2 linked regions of the Drosophila melanogaster genome follow. The protein of the gene in region 2 purifies or fractionates together with the protein of the main gene of each other region. This does not show direct contact. Each region holds a gene or a part of one and is shown on either strand. Other genes may lie near its edges.

The links.
Region 1: the proteins of fz2 (region 2) and Impbeta11 purify together in Drosophila melanogaster (affinity purification with western blotting, with the first as the bait; one study listed by BioGRID). This does not show direct contact.

Annotation. Positions count from the first base shown.
Region 1 is NT_033778.4:15,680,722-15,687,930, reverse strand, and holds Impbeta11 (importin beta11), read right to left. Parts: upstream 5,213-7,209; 5' UTR 5,127-5,212; coding exon 3,009-5,126; exon of another isoform or gene 2,998-3,008; intron 2,928-2,997; coding exon of another isoform or gene 2,530-2,927; intron 2,412-2,529; coding exon of another isoform or gene 2,230-2,411; intron 2,171-2,229; coding exon of another isoform or gene 2,125-2,170; intron 2,066-2,124; coding exon of another isoform or gene 1,849-2,065; intron 1,707-1,848; coding exon 597-1,706; 3' UTR 516-596; downstream 1-515. Other genes in the region: Cep89 (centrosomal protein 89kDa), read left to right, coding at 1-496; CG30082 (uncharacterized protein), read left to right, coding at 1,849-2,065, 2,125-2,170, 2,230-2,411, 2,530-2,927; CG30091 (uncharacterized protein), read right to left, coding at 5,528-5,919, 5,987-6,117, 6,188-6,233, 6,289-7,025, 7,086-7,209.
Region 2 is NT_037436.4:19,232,361-19,237,198, forward strand, and holds the start of fz2 (frizzled 2), read right to left. Parts: upstream 3,014-4,838; 5' UTR 2,654-3,013; exon of another isoform or gene 2,445-2,653; intron 213-2,444; 5' UTR 1-212. Other genes in the region: CG33647 (uncharacterized protein), read left to right, coding at 4,000-4,074, 4,134-4,451, 4,518-4,697. UniProt on the Drosophila melanogaster protein: Receptor for Wnt proteins.

The sequences.
Region 1 (7,209 bases), on a different chromosome or scaffold from region 2:
CTACGCGCGAACTAAATCCGAACTAGCCGCGCTTAAAAGTGCCTCATCGGCGGCGCCCGCTGCGGTTGCTCCTCCAGTTCCCGCCGAATCCGAGGCACTGCATCAGTGCAAAGCCCTGCTTGAGCAATTGCGGCAGGAGCATGCGAGAGAGCGAACTTGCCTCCAGGAACAGCTGCAAGCCACCACCGCACGGGCAGCTTCACTGGTCCGCAGCACGGAAAAAGCCAAGCACAGCAGAGATCGGCTTAAGGCTCGTCTGAGAATGGCGCTGCAGTGGGCCCAAAAGCTGGAGGCAGGGCAGGCTGAGGTGCGCGATACCTACGAGGCGGTACGCCGCCTGGAAGTACTTGTCCAGCACAAGGAGTCACAATTGCGCGGATTGCATGCCCGGAATGCAGAAGAAATGGACAAGTTGCGTCATAAGTTACAGCAGAAGGAGGAAACGATATGTGCGCTGCTTAGAGGCAAAATGGAGCGCAGACCGGCGGTGGATTAACGCGTAGAACATAGTTTTTAACAATTAAAAATATATAATTTCAATACAAAATACATTAATAACTTAGCGTAGAAAGCTTTTAAAGCACAGCAGTCCGGAATCAGCCGGACTCCACCTGTTCGGAGAGCGTCCTGTCCGCAGGCGCTCCCGATCCGGAGCCGGAGCCCGCGCACACCACACAGGCCTTGGGCACAGTCTGCTCTATGTACATGGTAATCCTTTCCCGTACCTCGGGAACCACGGAGCACATTACCTGCTCATATCGCTGGGATCCCAGCTGTGCCTGCAACGACTGCAGCTGCCACTTGAGATACTCGGTAAGGGGGATCTTGTAAACGGGATCTTTGAGCACCAACTGCCTGTGGCGGTCGTCGTGATAGGTCTTGGCCGGGTAGCCCTTGGTGTGAAATTCCTCGCTGACACCGCCGCCACTGCCCAGCTGCTGCTGCAGATCGTCCAGCTCGTGTTCGTCATGAATGACCAATGAATCATAGAAGCGAGGCGTGGCCTGTGACGCACCCTCCTCGGTGGCGGCGTACTGCTTGTCCATCACTTCGCCCAACGTTTCGTCCACCAGCTGCAGGATATGTGGCAGGCGAGCAAGCAGCAGCTCATTGCTTCCAAAGATCGAGGCGAAGGCCAGGCAGAAGAGCTTTCTCTTCTCTGCGTGCGTGTCGGGAACCATTGGGAACATCTCGATCCAAACGTCCAGGATGCGGGCCAAAGCGTCCGCTTGTGGCAATTGCTGTACCACCGACATGAAAACAGACTGGTCAATGAGCAGGGTGCGGGCCACGATGGTCAGATACCATCCCATTGTCATGGGATACTCCTGCTTAAGGCACACCTGCTGGAAGACAAAGGGCAGTGCTGGGCGCACCAGCCGCAGTCCCAACGCCGCGTCCGTTTTCAGGCATGTCTCGATGATCCGCAGCATGGCAATTATTCCCTCCACACGTATGTCCTCGAAAGAGCGCACGCAGTAGGCCACGAAACCCTCACCGTAACGACTCAGATAGGCCTGAGCGTCCAGCAGTATATAGGCATGAATCAGCTGCAGCACGGTGCGCAGGTTCTCCGATGACATCTCGATAATAGGCAGAAGGTGGTCGCACAGACCAAGTAGTTCGGGTGTCAGTGCAGTCGAGTTCCCAATCACCGCCAGCCAGAGCATGATACCATCTTCGATGAGGTAGACGTGCGAGGGTTGCTGTGCGAAAAAAAGTTAGGTATTGTTACTCATTGCGGTTTCATAAAATGCTATATTTTAGCTTAGTTACAGATAAGATTGTTGTGAAAGAATGAATGCTAAACCATTAAAAATAATCAGTACAGCCAGTGTTGACCTCAAGATGAAATCGCTGTGGATTGCTAGTTTCGCCTTTCTGGTTTGTCTAACACCAAAACTAAGAGCCCAGTTTATTGATCCCAATTGCGGAACTACCATCAATCTTCCGCCCACGAATAGAATCGTTGGAGGTAGAACTGCAGATATAGGATCTAATCCGTGGTTGGCCTACTTGCACAAAAACTCGTCTTTAGTTTGTACAGGCACATTGATCACAAAAAGTTTGTACCTTCGGAAATTTGTGATTTACGAATTGTATTTTTAACAATGATTTTCCTAGGGTTTGTACTCACCGCAGCGCACTGCCTGCACAGCTTCCATTTGTTGTTAGTATAAAGTATAAGCTCGTATTTGATTTTTAAACTAAATTAATTCTAAAACACAGAACGGTTCGCCTTGGGGAATACGACACATCGACACGCATCGATTGTACATCTGAGTTCTGTATTCCGACGTATGAGGAGTACAGCGTAGAGAACGCCTACATCCATACATTCTTCGGTGGAAGACAAGACAGTCGCAACGACATTGGATTGCTTAAACTAAATGGAACCGTCGTTTACAAATGTTAGATGCCATCATATGTATCAATTTAGTTTATCCCCAATTTTATATTGCTCTACGGATGAACGGATCTACTAAGCGGTGTGCATTACAGTTACTTTACTATTATTCTCATTTGCAGTGTTCATTCGACCAATTTGTCTGTTCCGGGATCCAGGCCAAGTACCTTATAGTTCCACCTACGAGGCCGCTGGATGGGGTAAGATTGATCTAATCAACACCGCCACAGTTCTGCAAACAGTGAACCTGATCAGGCTTGACCAAAGCGACTGTGAGCGATCCCTGCGCACTTCGCTTTCATACGGTCAGTTCTGCGCTGGACAATGGCGGGCGGACACCTGTAGCGGTGACTCAGGCGGTCCGCTGTCGAGGAAAATGTCAAATGGCCGCATAACCCGCACCGTTCAGCTAGGTATTGTCAGCTATGGTCACTACTTGTGTCGAGGGCCAGGAGTCTACACATACGTTCCAAGTTTTACTAACTGGATACTCAGTATTACCCGCTGGACTCAAAACTGACTCAACTATGTAAAAATTCTTATTGTAAATAAATAAAAAAAAATGTATAGCATATGGAATTAAACATAAAAAATCACTCACCTGAAGATCCGTGCTCAGCTCGATCACGCTGTAGAGGAAGGGCTTCATGGGCTCTGGGACATCCCGTATCGTTCGAACCAGCTGCTCTAGGGTGCCAATGATGGCGCAGCGCAGAAGGTCGTGTTCCTCGCTCTCGCGCCACAGGAGGGGTAAATACGCAATGAACTGCAATGCCTGCGGCTCGATGTACTCGCTCATCTTCTCCACAAGTAGCGTCATCGTGCCCAGCACCACGATCTTGGTGTCGCACTCGCCGGCCTCATGGAGCAGCAAAAAGAGGGCCTCGAAGAGGGATGGAAAATACGGGTGGAACGCTTCCGGCATAAACTCAAAATCGTCGATCAACAGATTCAACGTCCTGGCAGCGGCCAACCTGGTGGGCATGTCCTCCTGCGGCCGGAGAAGATGCAGGCATGCTTCGTAAGCCAGCGGTCTCAGTTCTCTGGGCAACTGGACGCCAACCCAATGGCCTACCAGCCAGATGATGCGACGCCGTAGGATCCGAAAGTTCAGAGCTTCCACGCGCAGCTCCGCAAGCAATTGGGATGTCAGCCATGCGCCAAAGTCCAGCTTGTTAAAGAAATGAAAGGCTGCCTGGCCTACGGCATTGTAGATAGCGTCTTTCAGTAGAATGGCCTTCAGGTCAGATTCCGGGGTCAGCTGCAATTGCTGGGCACGCCTTACGAAACGGAGCACCTCCGGAATCATCACTTGCGAATGCTGAGTAAAACATGTGAAATAAAGGGTCTCCACGCTTGGCCTTAAGGCGTACTTCCAAGCATCACCACCGCCGTCGTCCTGGTCATAGCCCTCTGGATCCTGCTGCCACTCCTCCAGCTCCTGTTGAGTGAGCAGAAAATAGTGCGTCACGATCTTCTCACAGATGTAGGTCACTCGCTCCGCTGTGAAGAACTTGGCTTGGCTTTGAGCAGCGCTGGCTAACAGCTCATCCTCTATGTGAGCACCACCTTCGGGCGGAGCACTGATGCTATCGTTGCCGCTCAGCATGATACCTTTCAGCATGTTCAGCGCCTGTATGGCAAAGTTTTTAAAGTTAATGCGATCGCCGGCGTCGAAAATGAGGGCGGTGCCCTCGTGGAACACATAGTGGAAGCTGAACTCCAGGGCCACAGGAACGAACCTCGCAAAGGACACAGAATGCCGCTCCATCAGTTCATTGAGGGTCTTCATCATCTTAATCACAAAGCGCTCCAATTCGGTGAGTATCGTGGCAGTGCCTGGTGTGGCCGATCCCACTTTCAGTTCATAGCGCAGTTCGAGGCACTGTCGCAACCGCTGGAAAAGCTGCTCCACAAAGTTCATGTGATCCGTGGACTTGTACGGCTTGGCACAGCCGTAGACCACCAGCTTGCGCAGGGTTCTCATCACCACATACGCCCGTTGAAGGGCATTGAGGGCCATGGCCTCGTCCTTTCGCACGAGCTGCAAAAAGCGCGTCGTAAGTGGTGCCCAAATGTCCCACGCCAGATATCCAAATATCTGTAAGCCCAGCTCCTGGAAGGCACGCTGCTCGGCCATCAGACGCCGTGAGGCCAGGGCCTTGAGGACATAGTGTAGGACAATAAGAATTCGCTGCTGCAGGGCCGAATCCCCATCCGTACCGCAGGACTGCAGCTGCTTCATGAGTGTCGGCAGCAGATCCGGCCAAAATCGCGGGTAATCCGTGCGTGCCAGGCGACCCAGGAGCACGGCTACCTGCAGGGCTACCTGGGGCACTTCCTCTGCGTCGTAGTGACGCAGAAGTACTTCCCGGATCTGCTGCTTTTGCTCCGCGGGCAGTTCCTGCCGCGAATTGGGCCGCCAATAGCGCTCCACGCCATTCTTTAGGTAGACAGCCGCCATCCAGCGCACCTTCACCTCGGAGTCCTCCGTACTGGACACCACGTCGCCGCCGCCACCTCGTCGCATGCTCAGACGGGCAATCGTGGGAAAGAAGCCCGGCTGCTGCTCCCACTCGCGCAGCTGCGCCTCCGCCTTCTGGACAATCTCATGGCTCGGATTTGTGGCCGCCTGCAGTGTCTGGGCTACCAGCTGCTCCACCGACGCTCCAGCACCCGCTGCGGCTGCTCCAGATACTGCTCCCGTTGCCATTTCCATCACACGACGCCTCCTCTTGCGACGCTTGCGAGGACGAAAATTATTGGCAAATTTCTGCGGCGCGTGCTGCTTCTTGCTTGAATTTCAGTGTGACCGACCGCAAATGCTGGAAAATACTAAAACAGCAAATTTTAATATAAATAATTTTGCAAAAAATTTCAAATTTAAATTATTGTTTGTTAAGTTTTTGTTGAAATGGAATTTTAAAAGAAATTACAATACATTTAATAACAACTATTACTAAAATAGTATTTCTGAATATATAAGTAATTTTGCAAGCATTTAAACTTCTCGTTAAGTGGGCTTACAGTATATGAAATTTTTGATATTATTATTACTATTAACTTTATTAAATCAAATGGTTTTCATATCGCAGAACTTAAAACTTTTCAAAGAATTCTCTACGCCTTAACCATTTCCCCGATCCAGTCCAAGTATTCGAGAACATTGGTGTAGACATTTGAAGCGAAAGGCTCTAACCTGCCAAAGCTCGCCAGTCCGACCAGGCTGAATGCCCTCCTGTTTCCGTGGGTTAGAGGGTTTACCAAGGGACTGCCAATGCCCACGCGCAGGAGATGAGGAGAAGGGCTTTCCATGCACAACTGTTGCTCTCCGATGTCTTGGTGATCCTCCCGGTAGCACTTACTGGCATTTGTTCGCCGCACCACCACGTTAGTCGGCGTGCCCCAGCCAACGGCTATGAGATTCAGGGCGGGATCAGCAGCACGCCTTTGGAACTTCTGCTGCTCCGCTTTGTTGCTTAGCGAGGGCAGGCAGATCGGTCGAATCGATTCTAGCCGCATAAAATGAACACATTATGATTATGAAGCTAATCCGTATGGCCTTTGGAAGACACTCACCCGTGTACTGCACTTCCTCGCCCAGTTTAAGCAGAGCTATGTCGTTTTGGGCCAGGCTAACGAATTTGGGATGCTTGTGAACAGATGCGACAGCGTAGGTATGCACATCGCCTTGTCCCAGTTGAACCTTTCTAGATGTATGTACATACAATTGCACTCAGATTACTCAACTTTCTCCTCCCAAGGGATCAAAGTACTTACAATGCCGTACTTTCGGAAATCAACTGCGCCGTTGTCACCACGAAAGCTACAAGAAGAACACATTAGTAATCTTTTCGAATGAGGAAAGAAAAGATGACAACTTTTCGAAATAAGTGCGCCGTTTGAGATTATAAAGGAATCCTTGTAGACCTCAGCCAACCACTCGAAGGACCTGATCGCATCGGGACCACTTCTATCCCAGCTGTTCAACGTGTCGTTGCCCAGACACCCAGCATCGAGTAGGTCTATATAGGGTAGCACCACCTCAATGTCCGCATCCAGAACAATGCGCTCGATAAAGTCGATATGGCCCATTACATCGGTGTACATACCGAAACCTCTGCAATCTTCGGTGCCAGTGCTGACGATTCCCAACTGCGTTGCTCGCTTGATGCCATCGAACAACATATGTATGTACAAGGGTCCACCGGAGTCCCTTTTGCAGGTATCTCTGCCTACCGCGGTGCCGGCACAGAACATTGGGTAATCAAAAGTGTACCAAAATGCTGCCTCGCACATTTTCCTATCTATTCTGTAGATCTTGACCATTTGAAGATTGTTACTCATCTTCCCATTGCCCGTTACGCCCCAGCCGATTGCTGTGAACTCCTGGATGAGATCCGTTTGCGGCTTGAGTTGGTCGTTCAGTAAAATACATAACGGTTTGATTTGTGGCTTGTAAACGATACTTTTTTGCAACCTAAGAAGCGCTATGTCATTGCGATAGTTTTGTATCGCGAAGGAATCGTGGATGTAGACCCTCTCCACGTTGTATATCTCGTGGGGATGATTGTGTTCACCCGTCGCCAGTAGATGGTACACACCCAAGGTAACTGTGCTGCAAATCACATATAATTATTCAATTATATTATATTATTTATTAATTTAAGGTGCTTACAGCTGAGTGTACTTTACAATGCATTCCTCATCGGTGCACATACAATGAGCGGCCGTCAAGACGAATTTGTTAGTAATTACCGATCCTCCGCAGATAAATTCGTCATTGGTTTTTATGAGGGCCA
Region 2 (4,838 bases):
GTAATTGGTATATTTTGTTTTTATTGGCGTTTAAAATTGCTATTTCACTTGGGTTTATTGTATTTCTATATTTATCGGTTTCGGATCGTATACGTTTGCATTAGCACGGCGCGGAACGGAATGGTTGCATTTTCGTATATTCTATATATAGGCGTTTGCTACATCAGATTGCTGATTATTTTGGCTGGAGAGATCCGCTTGATTTGACGAACCTGAAAAAGATATTGCCAATTAATTGTTGATCACGTGCAAGTGGCTAAAACAGCTATTAAATAGAAAACAAAGGACTTGCAGGGGGCAACCAAAACGCAGACGTGTAGTTTGCTGAAAAAAAAATTGAAAATAGAAAAACACAGACGACAGGTGTGAGTGAAAAGGTGTAACCCGGCCAACAACAACTAAATCAAATCGCAGGAAAATGCCTGCATTTTTCCTCTTTTCCCCTTCCGCCGCCCATCCATCGCTTGGCTGGATCTCAATGGGCTCTGGGGCAAATATTTTAAATGCGCAGATTTTTGGCATGTTTTAGTGGCAGTTCACGTTTTGAATTGTTGCCATGCCCCTCGGAAACGGTCCAACGCTCGTTTCACTGACAATTTAATACAAAAAATGCCAAACATTTTCACAAAATAAAAGGACCAGCACAAAAAGCCAACGTGGAAAAGTTTGGCAGTCGTATAGCGTGTGTTAACCCTTTAAAATACCCAAAAATATATGTGTTCGTACGTGTAAGCCGGGCTATGATAAAAAAGTTGTTTGGAGCGAAATTGTAGGTTCCTTTTTTATGAATGTGCTTTGCGAAGATATAAATGAGACACCAGTGGGTGTGTGGAATAGTTCAAAAGCCATTTGCATTAATGAAAAAGAAAAATATTTCAGTGAAATATTTAATACACTCAATCAGAAGGAAGTAGAGGGAAATTAAAATTAAGATTGGGTTTAATCATTACTTCAAAGAACTAAATAAATATTGCATAATTAGAAATAACAAGAAACAAAAATTAATTATTATTTAGGAAAATAATTAACCAAAATGACCAAATTTCCTATTTATTTAACCCAAACGCAAATATGAATAATATTCTTCGTTGGCCAGAGAATGTAAACATTTCTGCACTTATTGCTTCGACATTCCCTTAGCGTTTTGCATAATTTAACACACGGGTTAGGCTGTGACCCCTGCAAGAGCCACCCCCCGGATTTCCCACCCGCTGAGTCTGGAGCCCGGCCCCGCCCCCATTTCTTGCTAATACCATTCCGCCCCTTTCGACCAGAAGCGGTGCGTGTGCTTGCTGCTCCCATTGAAATGCCAGACTAACTCAATTAGAGTGCGCAGACAGAAGTTGAAGTTGAGTGTTACTTTGACTGCCGGCCAACATGCGAGTGCAAGAAAATATTTATAAATATTTCGAAACATCTGAAACTGCTCCTATTTAAAATGTAGGGAATTAAAGAATGCAATGATGTGGGGAAAAAACTTGAAGACGCGTCTCAATAAACAGACAGCCGGATAAAAGAGTAGGAAACTCGGCAAAAGTATCTAGATACTTTTTGCAGCTAGGTAGCTAGCTATGAGATACTCTCACAAAAACAGCAGCAAAAGCAACAGTGCTGTCTGGCTTGTGAACTCGACTCGTAAATGTACACAGAAAAAAATTGACCTGTCTTGGATCAATTCTTTATTGATTATTTACAACAATCTTATTGTTTTCAACATTATTCCACAAATGCAAAAAAAATCGTTCAAATTTAGACTTTAATTAAAAATAATATTGTCTTTGTTAATGAACTTGAATGAACTTTAATAAAGTGTAATAAGGTGTAATAAGGAAAAAGAAATAAATATTCGAACTTACATTTATAAAAAAAATGTGAAATTCCGAAAAACTTTAACAAAAATGGTCAAGAAATCAACAAGTTAAAAAGTGTATTTTTAGCGTTGTTGGAAATATAAGCTTATGTAAAGTTAAATATATTCTTTTATATTCTGGGCAAAAAAAGCAATATAAAGAGTATTTAGTCCTTTAAAGCTACGTCGAAATATCTACGTTTAACATTTGAATTTATAAAAAGTTTATGTTCTTAAACAAACAACAACTGAAACAAGATGTGTACACTCAAAATTTAAACTTATAAGTGGCTGAGTTTTCCTCCCTGTGTGCGAAAAACACAACAGAAAACAAAAATAAAATGCAAACAACGGAAAAGCGGAAAAAAAGAACTTGGCGTCGTCTGAGTTTAGCTCTCTGTGCTCTCTTTTCTTTTGCAGCTGTGTGAGTGTGTGGCTGTTGTTGTCTTTCCCATTTTCCCGTAGAAAATGTGAATGATTTTCCTTCACTTTCATCAACAGCTGCGCTCACACAAATGCAAGAAGTACTCATTTTCGAATTGCTTTTTGTTATTATTTTAGATACACAAATGAGTTAGCTTTTTCGTATCTTTACCGTTTGGCTGTGTTTTTGTTGTGCTGATTTTATATTTGTTGTGTTTTTGTATAAGTTTATTACTAATATATTTTTATTTGTTTGTATATTTTATTTGCAGATCTCTCGATTTCTCGGTTTTGTGTTCTTCGCCGGCTTGCTATTTTGCAAATGCCGCCGAAATTGCAATCAATTGCAGTTTTATATCTCCAGCTCACACAGATACTCACGCACACTCACACAAACACACACCAATGCGCGACGGCGACTGCGACGCCAACTGCGACTGCGGCGTCGACCGCGCTGCTCACGTCGTATGTCCGTTAATTAAACGCGCGATTTTTTGTTTGTTTCGGTTTTTACATATTATCTTTTCATGTGCTTCTCTCTTTTGTTTTTATTCCGCTTTGTTATTGTTATTAACTATTGTTATCAGCCCTCGGCGCTGCCAACGTCGACTGCGCTGCCTTTCGCGGCTGCTTTTTGGCTTTTTTTATTTCCCGTCTGCGGTGTAAGCGTCTGCGATTTTCACGTTTTTCCTTCTGCCGCGCTGTGTAGTTTTTCCGGTGATTTCCACTTGCCAACTGACTTTCTTCCGACTTTTCCAAACGGCCGGCCGTTGTTTTGCAAAATTCGCAGAGAGAGAGCGATAACGATTAAGAAATGCGGGGGAGGAAAAATAGAGAGATGGAATTACAAATGCGCCGGTCCAAAAAGCTCGCGAAACGATTTGGTAAACGGAACAGAGCTACGTGAAACGTAAGGCCTGCCCGGAATCACGTAACGTAATCACCAAACGAATCACCAAACGTTAATTTTTTGAAACAAGTTTCTGCAAAATAAATAAGTCATTATAAAATATATTAGAGCTATAAATTTATGCAATGTTATTAACGAAAATATTTTGTATGCTAGACTGGTCGAATGGACCAATAAAAAAGTAATTTCGCACCACTTATTCAAAATATGATGAAATCGTCCTGAATCTAACCAAGAAATTAGTCATAGAAATCAAAAATAAATTAAATATAAATGCGTAATAGTATGGATAGCCCATTTAAAGAAGAATTAATAGGTATCAAGATAATTACTTCAAGGGCTTTGATAGAAATTATATTCAGTAAAATCGCGTTCGCAGTAAAATAAAGAAAACGTATAAGTTCTAGCTAAATCATCACTCATCTTAAACCCGTTTTTCTTTTTTAAGAATACAAATTATTTCAATATGTTATTACTAGAAAACTATTATTAAGCTGATTCTAAATGCTTCATATTCGTGCAAATTTGTTTCAGATCTCCCACTCTAATCCGTATTAATTATTATAATATAATATTATAATATATTATAATATAATAATTTTATAGTATTATTTTATACTATTAGTACTTTGCGCATCTCCAACTTGAAAAGTCCAAATAATTTACCGATATTAATGTTCTATCAACAAAAATAAGCAATTACAAATTAGGTAATACACTAATTGAGCACATTAAAAACCCATTTATTTTAAAATATACACACCTACGTGCGTTTGAAATGCATTAGATTTTAGTCTTCAATTAGTTATCCACTAGTATGAACGTCAAAAAGCTTTTTATATTGGTTGACCTGATTCTGGGGACCCTAATCTTGAGCAGTGTTCGTGCAGAGGTCAGTAGTATAGAATCATATATGTAAGTCCTACTACATTAACCTATCTCAACGTATAGAAAGAAGTTTTTATGACGAAAATTGAGTGCCTCAATTATATGCCAGAATTGGTGAGAAACGTAAGCTGCTACTTAAATGAAACTTCCCACCCCACTGGTTCAATATACGCAGAGTTCATATTAACCCAAGATGTTGAGGACCTGAAGGGCATTTACATTTTGACATTTAAGAGAGGTTCATACGTGACGAATTTTACCTCTTCACATGTAGACTATTGTCAGATGCTATCAAGTGTGGAAAATCATTTTTTATTTAGAATGGTTACTACGCAGCTTCGCGAAACCGCCAATTTTCCTATACAATGTCCGTTGAAAATGGTAATTAACACTGGTAAGAAATTGTATAAAACTCTCTAATATCGTATTTTGGAAATTGTGTTTTAGAATAAACGGTATTACGCAAAGGGATTTACAGTTAACTCGAAATTTATACCCAGCTATATGCCAGAAACGAACTTCATTTCGGACGCCCATTTAAGCGTTAAGGATCGCAAAGTATTTCGGTTGCTTATTAAAGGTCGCTTTTCTAGAATACTTCGGCGAAATTATATTAAAACCGAATAGATCACTATATAAATCAAAATGTGTAATTGCAAAATAAATGGATTTTTTTTACTTACAATATTTTTGTTATACATATTTACAGAGAATTAAAGCTATAAATAAGCTACTAAAAATAATCGTTTAGTTGAAATCGTCCACTTT